Danio rerio: one gene and its partner. The protein of the gene in region 1 binds, or shares a complex with, the protein of each later gene. Links are inferred from orthologs where the notes say so. Each region holds a gene or a part of one and is shown in the gene's direction. Other genes may lie near its edges.

Region 1 (7,596 bases):
TTAGCCTTATTTCTCAATTTATTGGACTCCAGAGAAACTCCAGGGATTGTATGAGTGCTTAAAAATGTAGTTGTGTTGCTTTCTTAATTTATCGTATTAAATAAATAATCAAAATTCACTATTCGAAAAAAATAGTGCCTGTAACATGTGCCACCCTTTTATTTTACTCTGCCCTAAGCAGTGGGAGAAGACAAAATGAATGGAGATTACCGCTTCATAAGTAAACAATGACTTAAATTAAACAAAATATACATTTGAGAAGAAAGATAGATGACATTTATGATTTAACTGACTTTATGATGTAATTCACTATAGTTTAAAATAGTTATTTAAATGGTAAATTACAGTTGGCATTTGAGAAAATGCCATTAAATTTTTTTCTTGGAATTCTATACAACAGAATACTGTAACAAATGGCATCTGATATAATGTGACAAAGTATGTATATTTATATAAATATATAATTTGTACATCTTGGAAAGTGCTTAAAGTGTTTAAATTTAACTCTGGAAAATGTGTAAGAATTCTGAAACTCCCACATGCATTATCTATTAGTTTTATGCATTGTGCAATTGAATTGAGTCATAAAGTTTAATGCATATTAAATGTCCTTTTTTCCAGTATACATGAAATTGAGAGACGTGCCCTGCCAGAGTTCTTCAATGGCAAAAACAAATCGAAGACTCCGGAGATGTACGTTCAACCTTGTACTTCTGTCATGTAGACTAGACTTTTATATAAGATCAACATGCATCATCCTGTTGTGTTTCTTTGTGGTTCTTTAGTTCATGTTTGTTTTGCTGTCTAAATTGCCTTTTCTCTTATTTGTAGTTATCTTGCCTATCGTAACTTCATGATTGACACTTACCGGCTGAATCCTCAGGAGTACCTGACCTCAACCTCCTGCAGGAGGAACCTCACTGGAGATGTCTGTGCGGTCATGAGGTCAGAATTCTCATTTAAATATCTGACTTCATTATAATAATATACAGAGAGTGGGTTCAGTTGGACTTTCAATTTTAGTTGGTGTGGCTATTTCAAGTATGAAAAGACATCAGTAATTTAATGTTGCATTTCCGTCAAGCCATTTAAAGTCCATAGCAAATCAAAAGTTGCTGATGTGGCAATGTGCAAACCATATTTAGCTCAGTGTTGGATATATTAAATAACAAAATCTAAAAATCTGTTTTAATGTTATTTTTTTTACCCTCTCATTGAATTATTAAGTTGTCTATATTAGCACATTCATTGTTGCATATATGTATATCTACATTTGTTTAATAGTTTTAGATTTTTCATTAGTTTTAGCTTTTTTTTTTCAAATTAATTTAGCTTTAATTTCTTTTAGAGATAGATTTACTAGTTTTTATTAGTTTTTATATTTTGAAATTGCTTAGTTTTAGTTTAGTATTTATTAGTTTCACTGTTCTATTTATTAAGTTATTTTTTTATTTTTTTGTAAATTAGGATAATTGTTAGGTGCAAGATTCAAAATCATGAGAGCATAATTGAAAACTCAAACAAGAATAGGCTACATTTTGACACAAGAACCCTACCATCTACCCATTCTCAATAGCCCACAAGATAGCAGCTTGAAGTAAAATATGTGTGCAATGCTGCTTCTGAGGGTAAATGCACAGTAGTGATGGGTGGTCAGTCTTCCCAGACACAGCAGGCTGTCATGTACTGTTTGTGTTCGATTCACCATCTGATGAATCACCCATGCGAGTTATAATTGGTTCAGCTTCTCAAATATAATCTGTGTACTGTTCTAATAACTGAATAACTCTATGTAATGGTTTATTTAAAGTTAGAAAGGGGTATCAGGCATGTTGAAACGCAAGTTGTTTGTGGGTAAGTGCTTAACGTTACTGAAGACTCAAATCATTTCAAATTTCACATTTTACTTAGAAGATCCGGTTAAAAAAAATTTAGCAGATAGATTTACTTCTAAAAGGCTTACAGTATTTATTAAATACATTTACAAAGACGAAATTGAAGAACTTTTCTGCTATAATTTTAGTTAGTTTGATTATACACAATGCAGTTTCAGTTATCGAAAATGTTTCTCAATTCTAGTTTTTGTTTTTTTCATTTGTTTTGGTTAACTATAATAACCTTGCATTGATCTTGCCATGAAATAGCCATAAGTTGCTGTGACAATAAACAAACAAATAGCTAAAAAAAAATACTAAACATTTCCATTATATGTTCATATTCATAGTTACTTGACTCATTAGTATTTAATGTATAATTGAACAAATTTGTCATAAAAAATAATTGTACTTTTGAACAAACTGGAATTTAGTGTGAATATAAAAAGGTAAACTTTGAATTAAATGTTTGTTTACAAGTTTATTTAAACTTGGAATTTGAACAAATAATTGAAATTTACCAAAAATGGTAATGTTTGACAAACTTTTAAAACTGTGCCTGATCTATACCTTAATGAAATAGAGATGAGATAGGATTTTATCTGAATCTTGAGCTTAAAAATCAAATTGTAAATTGTCAATACGGAGCCCTATTGTGCATTTTCATTGTGTTTTTTTTCCTCCCAGAGTGCATGCCTTCTTGGAGCAGTGGGGACTGGTGAACTACCAGGTGGACGCGGAGAGCAGACCTCTCCCTATGGGCCCTCCACCAACCTCACATTTCAATGTTCTGGCTGATACTCCCTCTGGCCTGGTGCCGCTGCACCACCGTCCCCCACAGGTGAGACTGGGGTCACTTCCTTTTTAATTCCCAGAAGGCACGAGGCTTTCTTTTGAATCTGCTACAACAAATTCTCTGCTGTTCCTGCCAGGTTCCCCCTGCTCAGCAGATGCTGAACTTCCCAGAAAAGGGCAAAGACAAGCCAACCGACCTGCAGAACTTTGGCCTCCGTACAGATATTTACTCCAAGAAGAATCTCAAGGCAAGTCGCAATCCCTGTGCCTTCTGCCAAACCCAATACTGCTCGCTCTTCTGTCTTTTATAGTTCCTTGATGTGATTATGTGGAACATTTGTTTCAGGACTCTCTGCTGTTTCTTCCTTTAGTTCGGTTTGTTTAGGCATATAGATGTAGTTTTAATGTTCTATTGCACAGCAGTTGGTTCGAGATGAAAAATTGTTAGATTCAATTAACTAAATTGTAATTCCTGAACCGAAACAAATGTTGCGCAACAAGCAGCAGTGTCTAATACCGCTTTTCCAACAGCATGAACCGGGTGCTAGTTCAGAGCTAGAGCTAGAGGCTCTTGCAGTTTCCGGACTAGTTCATCTGGCGAGCCTTCTATGAACTACTTCGCTTTTCGATAGGCTAGAGTGCCACCTTAAAGCATTGGTTTAAAGTCAGTGAAATACAATTGCAGAAGTGGCAGATATATACATACCATCAATGTTGCATTACCATTTATTTCAATGGATTTGCAGATTCATGTCAACATGTAAACACAGCGAATCCGACGTGTTCGAGGAGTGTGCTGTATTTTGTAGAGAGAGTGATAGTGCGTTTCATCAAGAAATAATAAATGTTCATGCATGTTTTATTTGAGTAGACTGAGATAACAAGTGATAATAACGTTTGGTATCGTGTTCTGCTGCGGTTTAAAAAATGGTGGTTATTGTTTGTCCTGTCGATCACCGTAGCTCTGCCCTCATCCTCTGAACAAGCAATATTTGTTTCTAGCCAAACGATGGTTTGATGCCACTTTAGAATCACTTTGCCTGGTTCGGAGCTTTGGCTGTTGCAACAAAGAACCGATTTTGGACTTGCAGTATGATTCTCAGAGTAAGCACAATAGTTATTGCAAACAGAGTCTCCTCTTATGGGAAGTGCTTTGTATGGGAAGTGCCATGTATGCCTAGATAAAGCCATAAATAAGCCCATGGAGTCATTTTATCAATCCATCTAGACCAGGCGTGGGCAAACTCGGTCTTGGAGGGTATGTGTCCTGCACAGTTTAGCTCCAACCCTAATCAAACACACCTGCTTATAGATTTCTTGTGATCTTAAAGACACTGATTAGCATGTTCAGGTGTGTTTGACTAGTGTTGGAACAAAACTCTGCAGGGACACCGGCCCTCGAGAATCAAGTTTGCCCGTCCCTGATCTAGACGGATAATGCAGAGGCATGTGCAATCTGACCAATATCAGGACCATTGTGGGGGGAGAGTTACTTTTAAAAGTAATGCATTAAAATAACGAGTTACTCCCCAAAAAAGTAACTAGTTGCTTTACTTAATTTATATGGAAAGTACTGTTACATTACATGGAGTTACTTTTGCATTACTTTTTTTTTTTTTTACCTCTCTAAGGCTTTATCTCTTTTAAAACTTTAGTTTTTTTTCTTTTTTGATAGAGAAGCTCTGCAAATAACACACTTTATAACCTTCATTTACCTTAAAGAAACTACCTTAAAAATAATAATAATAATAATTTAGGATAAAGTTATCTTCTGAGAACTTACTGATTTTTAATATTGTCATGAATTCCAAATATTGACATTTAAAGTTTATTTTAAAGCACAATCTAAAAACCCCTTACTCTTTTGCTTTACAGGGTAAAGGAGCTGCAGGTGGCAGAGACTGGACAGAACAAGAAACATTGCTTCTGTTAGAGGTAAGATCAGACTCAACACTTCTTTCACACACCTTTTCATTTTCTTGATATTAATATATATTTTTAAACTGCTTGGTACAGGCTTTGGAAATGTACAAGGATGACTGGAATAAAGTTTCTGAGCATGTGGGCAGTCGTACACAAGATGAGTGCATCTTGCACTTCCTGCGGTTGCCCATAGAGGATCAGTACCTGGAGAGCTCTGACGCTTCGCTAGGCCCTCTTGCCTACCAGCCGATCCCATTCAGTCAATCAGGGAATCCAGTTATGAGCACGGTTGCGTTCCTCGCCTCTGTTGTGGATCCGCGTGTGGCCGCGGCTGCTGCCAAAGCTGCTCTGGGTATGTCCAGTTTGTCCAATATACATCTTTTAAAGTACACATGAAGTCAAAGCAAACCATATTGATTTTGTTAGCTCACATTGCTGGTTTTGTTGTGAGTAATTCATCTGCACATTTCATTATGATAAAAAAGGTTTGTCTGTGTAATCTAAAATTTAAATCTGAGAATGCACTTACTGTTTGATTTTAGTTAAATTGTCAGATTACATCTGTGTGAGGTATTGGGAGTGGCTAGCATACCTAACCACACCCCTCCAACTGTCAGTTTTAACAACCAACATAAATTGTGAGGAGGAGGTGATGTCTGTTGGGTTGTAATGACTCTCCCGAGACCCTTTTACTGATCTTTCTGAATGAAATACCTGCTTTACTACATCCAATCAGCTTGCAGTACAAAAAACTAGTCACACCTACTGTTGGCACATTTATTTAGTTTGTCTGGAAACTGCATCGCAATACAAAAATAAATGGTTGCAACTACAGGTTCATGTGGACTTTAATGATGTGTCTCTACCTGTATTTTAAGAATATATTTCTCTTTATGGATTATAGATGAGTTCTCCCGTGTGCGTGAGGAGGTTCCTGCAGAGCTAGTGGAGGCTCATGTGAAGAAGGTGCAGGAAGCCGCACGCAGCACAGGGAAAGTGGACCCTGCATTTGGCCTGGAGAGCAGTGGCATTGCTGGCACAGCTCCTGAAGAACCCGAGAAGACGGGTAAGAACTTTTATACCAATTCATTAACTGCTCTGATTGGATTAGAGATTTCCATCTTGCCTACACAACGGACTTTACTTCAGCTTTGATGTAAATGCTTGGTGTATGCATACTGACAAATACAGTCGTCAGTGCATGAAATTTGCACTACGCTCTCTGTACTCATGGCCTAGCACAGTGGTTCCCAAATCGTTTTAGTCAAGGATGCATTGGGTTCTGCTAGTGCAGGTCTTGAGATCAGATGAACAATCAAAATATTGAGGTATTCAGCAAAAAATAAATAAAGTTAAGTAAGAATAGTGACTAAGAGGTGCAATGTATAATTATTTCTTGTCAATTAAACATCATGAAAGTACAGTGGCCCAAAGAGCTTAACATGCTGCAATTTAAGAAAACACATGCATTTATGAAAAACATTAGCAAATTGAGAAAGGATCTCCATCCGATAACACACGTGCTGCAAATCCTTACAAAGCAAACTAGTTGTTTTTAAAAACAGACCGGGGGGTTTTAACTTTTTAGGACACATGACACCAATTTCACTTGTGCCTAGCCAAGTTTGCAGAGCCTTGATGGTGTGGTTGAGTCGAACATAGAGTATGTATACGTAGAACACCAATACTTTAATAGATTTTAATACAATTAAGACAATAAGAGTCTAGCGTGTAAACAGCGATTTTTGATGACCTTAATCAGACTTCAAAATTAAACTAAACAGAAATAGAATTAACGTGGAGTATGCATATATTAGTGGCATTATGGAAGTAAACATTGCAGTCAAACTATTACTGTCATGTAGGACTTTTTGCGCATTTTGCGTCAAGATCCTCATACACAGATGTCAGTAAAGTACTGCAGACACGCACATCGCAAAATGCAGAAGTTTTCTTTTCTGTCCATTTGGCGTGCGGTTTTAAATTCCATTGAAACAACACTTCTCCATCAGTCCTTACTCCTTATTTGCATCTAGTACCCCAGTTTGTCACGGGGGCATAAATGAAATGTTCATGAGTGAAACTGGAACTGGCGAACTGAAGTCACCCAAAATTACTGAAATCTCGGCAGGAAACGTGGATACCCTGGTGATGCAACATTTAAAAAGCACTTCACGTAAACACCTTGATTATATTATTGTCTATTAAGACAAATAACTAGATTACTGATGTCCATGTAAACATAGTCAGTAATGTCTTCGAAGTAAGTGAAAGATCCAGAAGGGCATCCTGCTGATTTGATTCTAAAGGGCACTTTTTTTGTCAGAAGGCTCCCTGGCTTTACTTTTATTCACCGTCCTTCATTTTAAAAAGACAAAATGGTCCATTTTAATTTGTATATATTTCACTCAAACAAATTAACTCTACAGGTGCCTGAAAGTCAGCTGTGGAACTAACGTTAATCAGATTCACTCTAGTGAACGCATAAAAATCATCATCATAAATTATTCTAGTGCACGTCTCAACGTCTCCCCACAGGTTGAAAACCCCTCATTTAGACTACATAAATACAAAAGACAAGAGAATTCAGATGTTAAAATAAACAAATAACTTGCCTTTCAAAGATCACCTACAACTTCACTGAGCAATGGTCACGGCACAGCAGTATTCGTCATGTTCTTGGGTCCCCTTAAAAACATTTCCATTGTGTTTCTTTGTTTTTACGAATGTTGTGCGAAAATGCAGCACATTTTCGTTAATTTTTTGCGTTGTAAGAAAATGCAGCACATTTTATTAATTTGTTTGTCATGAGAAAATGTAGTGTCTTTTTTTTATTTTTTTTTTATTTTTTTTTTTATGCATGCATTGTGAGAATTTGCAGCATGTGTGCTGTCAAACGGATGAAGATCTTTTCTTAATTTACTGGTGTTTTTCTTTTTTATTGCATTTGTTTTCTTTAATTGCAGCATGTTACACATTCTCTGCCACCACATGAAAACCATAA
Region 2 (8,134 bases), on another chromosome or scaffold:
AAGCGAGCAGAACTTTCTTATACAGAGAGCATTATGTACACATTTTGAAAGCATATGCAGCCTTAAAGAGATAGTTCACCCCAAAATGTACAAGTTTTCCACTTTGTCACTCCAAACCTTGGTGACTGTCTTCTGTGAAACACAAAACAAAAATATTTTTTGACTGTTTTTGTCAGTAGAATAAGTGTTTAGAAATAATCATTCAATCATTCATTCATTTTCTTTGGCTTAATCCCTTTATTCATCAAAAGTAGCCACAGCGGAATGAACCGCCAACTTATCCAGCATATGGATGCCCTCCCAGCTGCAACCTAATCATTCAATGTAATAACAAAACGTTAATCTTCGCAGGAACTACCGCTAAAATATGACAAGTGACAAACCCAAGTATGCAAAGCAATATGTTGACAATTTTGTACATGCAAGCAAACAGCCATAAATGGACTAGCGGTCCTCCCCTACCAGCTTTTACAGCAAAGAGGAAGTGAAGCTTTGCAATGGCAAGAAAGGACACGGTGACAACTGTTCTGCTGAGGAACATAAATGAGGAACAAGGCTTTTTTTTCTTGATTAGTATCAAATCCTGTTGCAAGTGGTTTGACAATACAAATGAAGACACAAAATATGTCTTTGTCTGCTGAAGTAACACCATTTTGAATGTAAACCCACTATGATGTATCTTAAATAATGATTTGTCACATAATATTGCATAAGAGAAAAGTATCTAATTATTTACACTCATATAAGGCGATGAGTAACCACATATGAATCCATTTGGGTCATAATGTAGGGGGTTAATCCAATCTCTAGACTAAGAGGCCAGCTGTCAGTATATATGTGACTTCCTTTCAAGCCTGAGTATCTGCACCATCAAGCAACCAAGAACAAGTCAATCTAAAATCAATCGGTGGTCCTTCTGCTGTTTATAGGACAAATGAAGGGCTTCGCTTCCGCTATTCCCAAGACAAGGAGGGTAAAAAAAAAATACATAAAAGAAAATAAGGAAAGAAAAAATATCAGGAATTCCAGTTTGAAGAAACTTTTCAAGACTCACCTTTTCACTGTTGGTCTTAATTTAGGTTGATTATTTTTGTCAATTTAATAATTACATTGTATTGTTCATATTTTATTGTCTTATTGTGGTGTTTTTACAGCTTTTTTATTGTTCTGCTTTGTTACTGTTTGCCTTGTATGCATTGTAGCGCTTTGGGTCTGAGAAAAGCGCACTATAAATAAACTGTATTATTATTATTAGGGATGGACATCACGGTGGCGCGATGGGTGGCACAATTACCTCACAGCAAGTAGGTTGCTGTTTAGAGCCCCGGCTGGATCAGTTGGCAGTTCTGTGTGGAGTTTGCATGTTCTCCCTGTTCAAGTAGGTTTCCTCCCGGTGCTCTGGTTTCCCCTCACAAGTCCAAAGACATGATGTATAGGTGAATGGGGTAAGCTAAATTGACCATAGTGAGTGTGTGTGTGTGTGTGAATGAGAGTGTATAGGTGTTTCCCAGTGTTAGGTTGCAACTGGAAGGACATCTGCTGTGTAAAACATATGCAGGATAAGTTGGCGGTTCATTCCCCTATGGTGACCCCTGGTTAATTAAAGGACTAAGTTGAAAATGAATGAATGAATGAATGATTAGAGATAAACCGATACCACTTTTTTACAAACCGATATGAGTACAAGTATAATAGTTTCTGTTACTCGACAATACTGAGTACCGATTCTGATACTTCTTGGATTTGGTTTCAATGTAATTAATTTGAAAGAAGGTTTTATTTCTTGCCTGTCGCAAGGATGAACACAAAAATCTTTACCAGAAGGATATTTTAAGCTAAGAATATACGCACGTTGTTGACAACCCTGTATCGATTACCGATTAAACGTGGACATTTAAAGGATAAGTTATGCTTGCGCCATCACAACTTTACACATTACATGATCAAAGATCATATTGAATATTCGGTTTATTCGTCAGAAGCCTATAGATTTGTTAAAAGTGTATTTTATAAACGGATGGTTTATAAAGACTAAGCTATTAATATATCAGACATTCATTAATACATCAAGACATCGATGTCAGGTAGGACAACAAATCACATCCATGTAATGAAATCTTGTTGAGTGGTATTGGTGCGTGGTTTCAGCATTTCATGTGCAATACGAGTAAGAATATTTTAACCAAGTATCGACCCAAAACCTGATACTGGTATCGGTGCATCCCTTATTATTATTATTATCAAAAACACACTTGTTTTATTTATGTGGGTGCCAAACAACAAACTATGAAATGCAGCATGACACGCCCAAAAAGTGTTCCTTTGAGAACAACTTCATAAATATGTTTCTTATCATTATGCATGAATGGTGTACTGGGAGAGCTTTGGTATCAGAATTGAGATAAGAGACTTTGGCATTCTAAAGGACAATGACATTATCACACTGACAGTCAACAACACTTTATTGCTCTGGAAATCTTATGTCATGGGGCAAAGCTGAGGTTCATTAGGACAGTACCTTATTTAGAGATGAATGGGAAGGCTGTAGTGGGCTGCTATCAGGGAAGGGTGGTGGTCCTCGGGGGAACTATGGACTCACAAAAGCACATCTGCTGTAACAAGATCCCCTGTGCAATCTACAAAAGTTACAAAGAGAAGCATGGTTGGTTAAAAAATAGAATTGACTGGATATGCTGAATGCATTGTTTGTTGTGTGTTACATCACATTAACCACAGATTGGTGCTAAATATTTGCTTATCTTATAAAAACCTGTGTGTTTATAAAGGGGGGTGTGGATGGATGCTTGGCATTCTTTGAAAAGATGTTGGGGGATGGAAGGAGGAGACCTTATTGATGAGTATCCAGTTTGCAGATAACAAGTTTTTAGACATTCATACTATGATGCTGTTTATGTCTGTTTTTTCTCATTTTTTCTATACACAAACAGCTATAAAACATTCACTTTTATATCTGATGCTGTATATTAAATTTCGTTGTATTTATTCTGTTTGCTCTGTTGGGTCATAGCTAGGGCCAGACAGAATCTGCTGACATTTTTTGCTTTTTCTGCAGAGAATTTTGTAAACAATCTGTGATTTATGCGAGATTTTTTCGGGAGTATCGTAACTAAAAACTTACTATATGAAATAAAAAAAAATAATACCTTTTTAACTTTTAATAAATATATACAATGCAAGTCCACCTAGATCCAATTATTTGGTCGACAAAGCAAGTCTCTCACATAATATATCTTCTAAAAGACAGAAAACATTACTTTCAGACCATATTGTAATCAAATGAACACTTTCATATTAGTCAATAATATTACGGAAATGTATTTAAAAACTGAATAAACATATATTTACACCTTTGTCTTTATTTCTAGAGTGCTTTTACAATGTAGATTGTGTCAAAGCAGCTTAACTTAGAGGATTAGTATAGTAAATTGAAACTGTGTCAGTCCATTTTTTAAGAGTTTAAGTTCAGTTCAGTTTAGTTCAGTGTGAGTTAATTTTTACTGCTGAGAGTCCAAACACTAAAGAGCAAATCCAAATACACAAGTCAATAAATAAACTCAATGATGGGCTAAAGATCTGGGGAAATCTGCAGATTTCTGTGCGCACAGATTCTGTGTGGGCCTAGTCATTACCTATACTCAACGTTTACTCTGAGAAACTTCCATATTTTAGAGGTAAAATGCTCAGAATTGTAAAAAGTCTTGTCAAAATACTTGGAATTTGCCAAAAACAAAATAAAAGTCACATCACCTCATTGTCCTTGGTATCAGCAAGCACTTTTAACACAATCAGCTGTTTTTGTTTATAACTCCCACTGAAGGCCATGTGCATTACTCCCAAGTTACACAGTAAAAAGTCACATGTAGTTTATCATGATCACTGCTGCTCAAGCACAGCTTTATCTGTTATTCAGTGTGGCAATATCTGAAATGTGTGCAAAATATTATTTATTGTAGCTGATCACCAACACTTTCAGTGTTTTTTTTTTCTACTTTTAATGAGAATTATGTTCTTAGGATTTATCCTTATAAACCTCTTTAAAAAGAAATGTTATGTCTGCATAGACACGACATGAAATTATGAACAGAAAATTTAACTATTTAAGATCAAGACTTGACATATAACATTTCTAATGAACATTAAACCTGAGGTAGGCCCACTTGCAAAAATGTAACTGCTATCACTCACTTTATACATCATTGTGTAACTTGTACACACAAAAATAGTGAAGCAATGTGGCATGGAATGCAGGTCCCATTCATTCAAAGTTATTAAAGCACTTTCTTAAAGTGCATTACTACTGAGCTAAGACCAGCTAGTTGCTCATACAACATACTACAAGTAGTGTCATCCTAATTTGGATAAAAAAAATGTCCATTTTATACATGGAAAAGTACTCATTAGATCCCCCATTGTTTGTATTACGGTATTTCGTGAACACAAGAGGTAAATGACCTACAGAGCTGCTGTTGTGTTAGATTGAAAACACAACACAGGATCATGGAGGCATCCATCATTATGACGCATTCTGCCACTTGTAACTCTGCACAGACTTTTTGAAAAGTTTAATTGAGTCTTGGCGTTGTCGCAGAAAAATACGAAAAATTCTGTGTTAAAATTTGCAAATAAAAATTCCAGTTTTATAGGAAATCGCCATGGCCTTGTTCTTTAACCAGTTAAGCTTCCCCTTCTTTCACTCTCAAGTTGCAAGAAGCAAGTGTAGCAATGTGCACGCGACAGCCGGGTGTGTGACGCTGGACCAATCAGAGCACAGAGCTCCGAAAGTTTACCTTTTATGGCTAGAGCCGGGTATGTGCCGTCATATAAAAGAGCGCGCCCAGCTTTTCAGCCTCACTTTGAGCTCCTCCACACGCAGCTAGTGCGGAATATCATCTGCTTGTAACCCATTCTCTTAAGTCGACAACCCCCCAAACCCAAGGTGAGTTGGTTTTACAGTTTTTAAGCGTTTAATTATAGTTTCTATCTATTAATGTTAAGTAAAATGTGTAAATGGATAAATATGATTTGATGAAGTCTTTAGACAGTTCATAACGGTCTCTTTGTAGTTATCTACTAGGTTTGATTTATAAGTGGTGGTTCTTTTGATAATCTATGTTACATTTAATAAATATTGGCTGTATCTTAACTTTTTTGTAGCGTTAGTGGATGTGGCAGGTGAGAATGTCGGTAATTTAACGTGACCAGTCGTAGGCACGACATTGAACATTGAATAGGCCGGTGTGAAATGGGTGTTAAGTCTTAATATAAAGTTGTGTTCTGGCTAATCTCTCTTTAACAGCCATAAATGTGATTTTTAACTACAGTTTTGAGGGTGCTGGTGAGCATGTTGCACACTTGATGGATAGCCGGCATGGGAAGTTCTTTGTGCAGGCAGTGCTGCAGCAGGGTGTGACCTACTTTAGCTAGCCGGCTAACCAGCTCTCATCTGATGTAACGTAAACCCCATCAATCTAACATCGGCTCATTCGTGCTTTATAAGATCGAAGATCTTGTTATTAGTAACGGGTATTGGCATTTAGTTTTAACTTGGTTAATTTTCTTTTTGTTATGTGTTCTATTTAAATGTAGCCTGCAGCCCCCTCTGTCTTTAATGAAGCTGAAGATTAACGTTAACGTTAGTGAAGTGTTGTATCCGCTATGAAAGATTTGAATTTTAGAGGTGTGGTCCACTTTAATAACGGCTGCGGAGTTCTCTGGCTGCACTTCAGCCGCTGTGACTGTCGAAGCAGAGCCCATCAGTTTTTCAGGATCTCGGTGATTTTTGAGGCTAGACTATGAACTGAACCGACTGAGAGTGACCGTCCAGAAATGCTTTAGTGTGAAGTCTCCGCTCACGAGGAGTCCGTGGACTGACTGCAGATCTGTGACGCAGTAACACCCGGCGGCAGACACCCGTTGAAATGCGGTTGTGTAATTGATCGCAGGCGAGGGTGGAAGAGGATGTGAAACTTCATTTGTGTAAAATTTAGGGAGTGGTCCTGGTGTGATGAATGTCGAAATCTGTTCCTTTTTACTGAGCCCTACGACTCTGGCTGAGTGCCACACCGCCGGCAGCCGCAAAGCGGCTCAAACCATTGCCTTTTATGGTAATAATGAGAGAATGCAGAGGGACTTCCTTTGTCTGGCATATCTGAGGCGCGCGCTGTCACTAGCGCCCACCAGCGGTCAGACTGTAGAATGCAGAGCAAAACAGGAAGTTGACTCCAGATGGTCACATGCTTGCTGAAACGCCTCTCCCTGGCAGCAGTGCAATTCTAACAGTTTCCCTTTCTTTTACAGTTCAGCCATGGATGATGAAATTGCCGCACTGGTTGTTGACAACGGATCCGGTATGTGCAAAGCCGGATTCGCTGGAGATGATGCTCCCCGTGCTGTCTTCCCATCCATCGTGGGTCGCCCCAGACATCAGGTGAGAAGACCGATTAGTTTGATTCTGACCCAAACTGAGAACTTTCTCAAGTAGTTCACAAAATGTAACGCTTGTGTCCTTGCATTACAGGGTGTCATGGTTGGTATGGGACAGAAAGACAGCTACGTTGGTGATGAGGCTCAGAGCAAGAGAGGTATCCTGACCCTGAAGTACCCCATCGAGCACGGTATTGTCACCAACTGGGATGATATGGAGAAGATCTGGCATCACACCTTCTACAACGAGCTGCGTGTTGCCCCAGAGGAGCACCCCGTCCTGCTCACAGAGGCCCCCCTGAACCCCAAGGCCAACAGGGAAAAGATGACACAGGTTGGTTTTTGTCTTGCAAACCGTTCTCTGAAGCCTCTCGTCTGTCCCGTTTCCTCATTTTAAGTTCTCCTGTTCATTGGTTCACTTCCTCCAGGCTTTGTGTCCTCTGAGCTCCTGAGTTTCTCCTCTTCTCAGCAGGTTATCCAAACTTTGCCTGCCTGTTTTGCAGTTCCTTCTGCACTTTTTGTTCCTTTACTCTGGATTTCTGACTAACCCCTGCATGGAAGTGTGGATTGTGTGCTGCAGACACTTGAACATCCAGTTAACGTCTCCATCCTCTCTTTGCAGATCATGTTCGAGACCTTCAACACCCCCGCCATGTACGTTGCCATCCAGGCTGTGCTGTCCCTGTATGCCTCCGGTCGTACCACTGGTATCGTGATGGACTCTGGTGATGGTGTCACCCACACTGTGCCCATCTACGAGGGTTACGCCCTGCCCCATGCCATCCTCCGTCTGGACTTGGCTGGCCGTGACCTGACTGACTACCTCATGAAGATCCTGACCGAGAGAGGCTACAGCTTCACCACCACAGCTGAGAGGGAAATTGTCCGTGACATCAAGGAGAAGCTCTGCTATGTGGCCCTTGACTTTGAGCAGGAGATGGGCACCGCTGCTTCCTCCTCCTCCCTGGAGAAGAGCTACGAGCTGCCTGACGGACAGGTCATCACCATTGGCAATGAGAGGTTCAGGTGCCCAGAGGCCCTGTTCCAGCCATCCTTCTTGGGTAGGTTTCCTCACAAACATTTATATATCTCTCTGTGTGTAGTCGTTTTGAAGAGCTTTGGCTAATGTTTGCTCCTCCTCTGCAGGTATGGAATCTTGCGGTATCCACGAGACCACCTTCAACTCCATCATGAAGTGTGACGTCGACATCCGTAAGGACCTGTATGCCAACACTGTATTGTCTGGTGGTACCACCATGTACCCTGGCATTGCTGACAGGATGCAGAAGGAGATCACATCCCTGGCCCCTAGCACAATGAAGATCAAGGTGAGCTGCAGTCTAAGCTTTGACCTTTACCTCACAGTTGAACCACATGTGTGGCAACTCGTGCTAATCATCCGTCTCTCCACAGATCATTGCCCCACCTGAGCGTAAATACTCTGTCTGGATCGGAGGCTCCATCCTGGCCTCCCTGTCCACCTTCCAGCAGATGTGGATTAGCAAGCAGGAGTACGATGAGTCTGGACCATCCATCGTCCACCGCAAATGCTTCTAAACGGACTGTTACCACTTCACGCCGACTCAAACTGCGCAGAGAAACTTCAAACGACAACATTGGCATGGCTTTTGTTATTTTTGGCGCTTGACTCAGGATCTAAAAACTGGAACGGTGAAGGTGACGGCAATGT

Evidence for each region. The genes of interacting proteins can lie anywhere in the genome.
Region 2: smarcc1a (region 1) and actb2 share a complex: the UniProt entries of both Homo sapiens proteins name them as parts of the BAF complex. The link is inferred for Danio rerio from reciprocal best matches to the Homo sapiens genes SMARCC1 and ACTB.

The regions. Positions count from the first base shown.
Region 1 is NC_133191.1:46,865,659-46,873,254, reverse strand, and holds part of smarcc1a (SWI/SNF complex subunit SMARCC1), read left to right. Parts: intron 1-621; coding exon 622-693; intron 694-831; coding exon 832-945; intron 946-2,561; coding exon 2,562-2,715; intron 2,716-2,806; coding exon 2,807-2,917; exon of another isoform or gene 2,918-3,824; intron 3,825-4,139; exon of another isoform or gene 4,140-4,412; intron 4,413-4,544; coding exon 4,545-4,604; intron 4,605-4,685; coding exon 4,686-4,944; intron 4,945-5,496; coding exon 5,497-5,658; intron 5,659-7,596. UniProt on the Homo sapiens protein: Involved in transcriptional activation and repression of select genes by chromatin remodeling (alteration of DNA-nucleosome topology).
Region 2 is NC_133178.1:39,480,784-39,488,917, reverse strand, and holds the start of actb2 (actin, cytoplasmic 2), read left to right. Parts: upstream 1-3,629; 5' UTR 3,630-3,642; intron 3,643-4,867; 5' UTR 4,868-4,957; intron 4,958-6,318; 5' UTR 6,319-6,325; coding exon 6,326-6,448; intron 6,449-6,538; coding exon 6,539-6,778; intron 6,779-7,066; coding exon 7,067-7,505; intron 7,506-7,590; coding exon 7,591-7,772; intron 7,773-7,857; coding exon 7,858-8,001; 3' UTR 8,002-8,134. UniProt on the Homo sapiens protein: Actin is a highly conserved protein that polymerizes to produce filaments that form cross-linked networks in the cytoplasm of cells.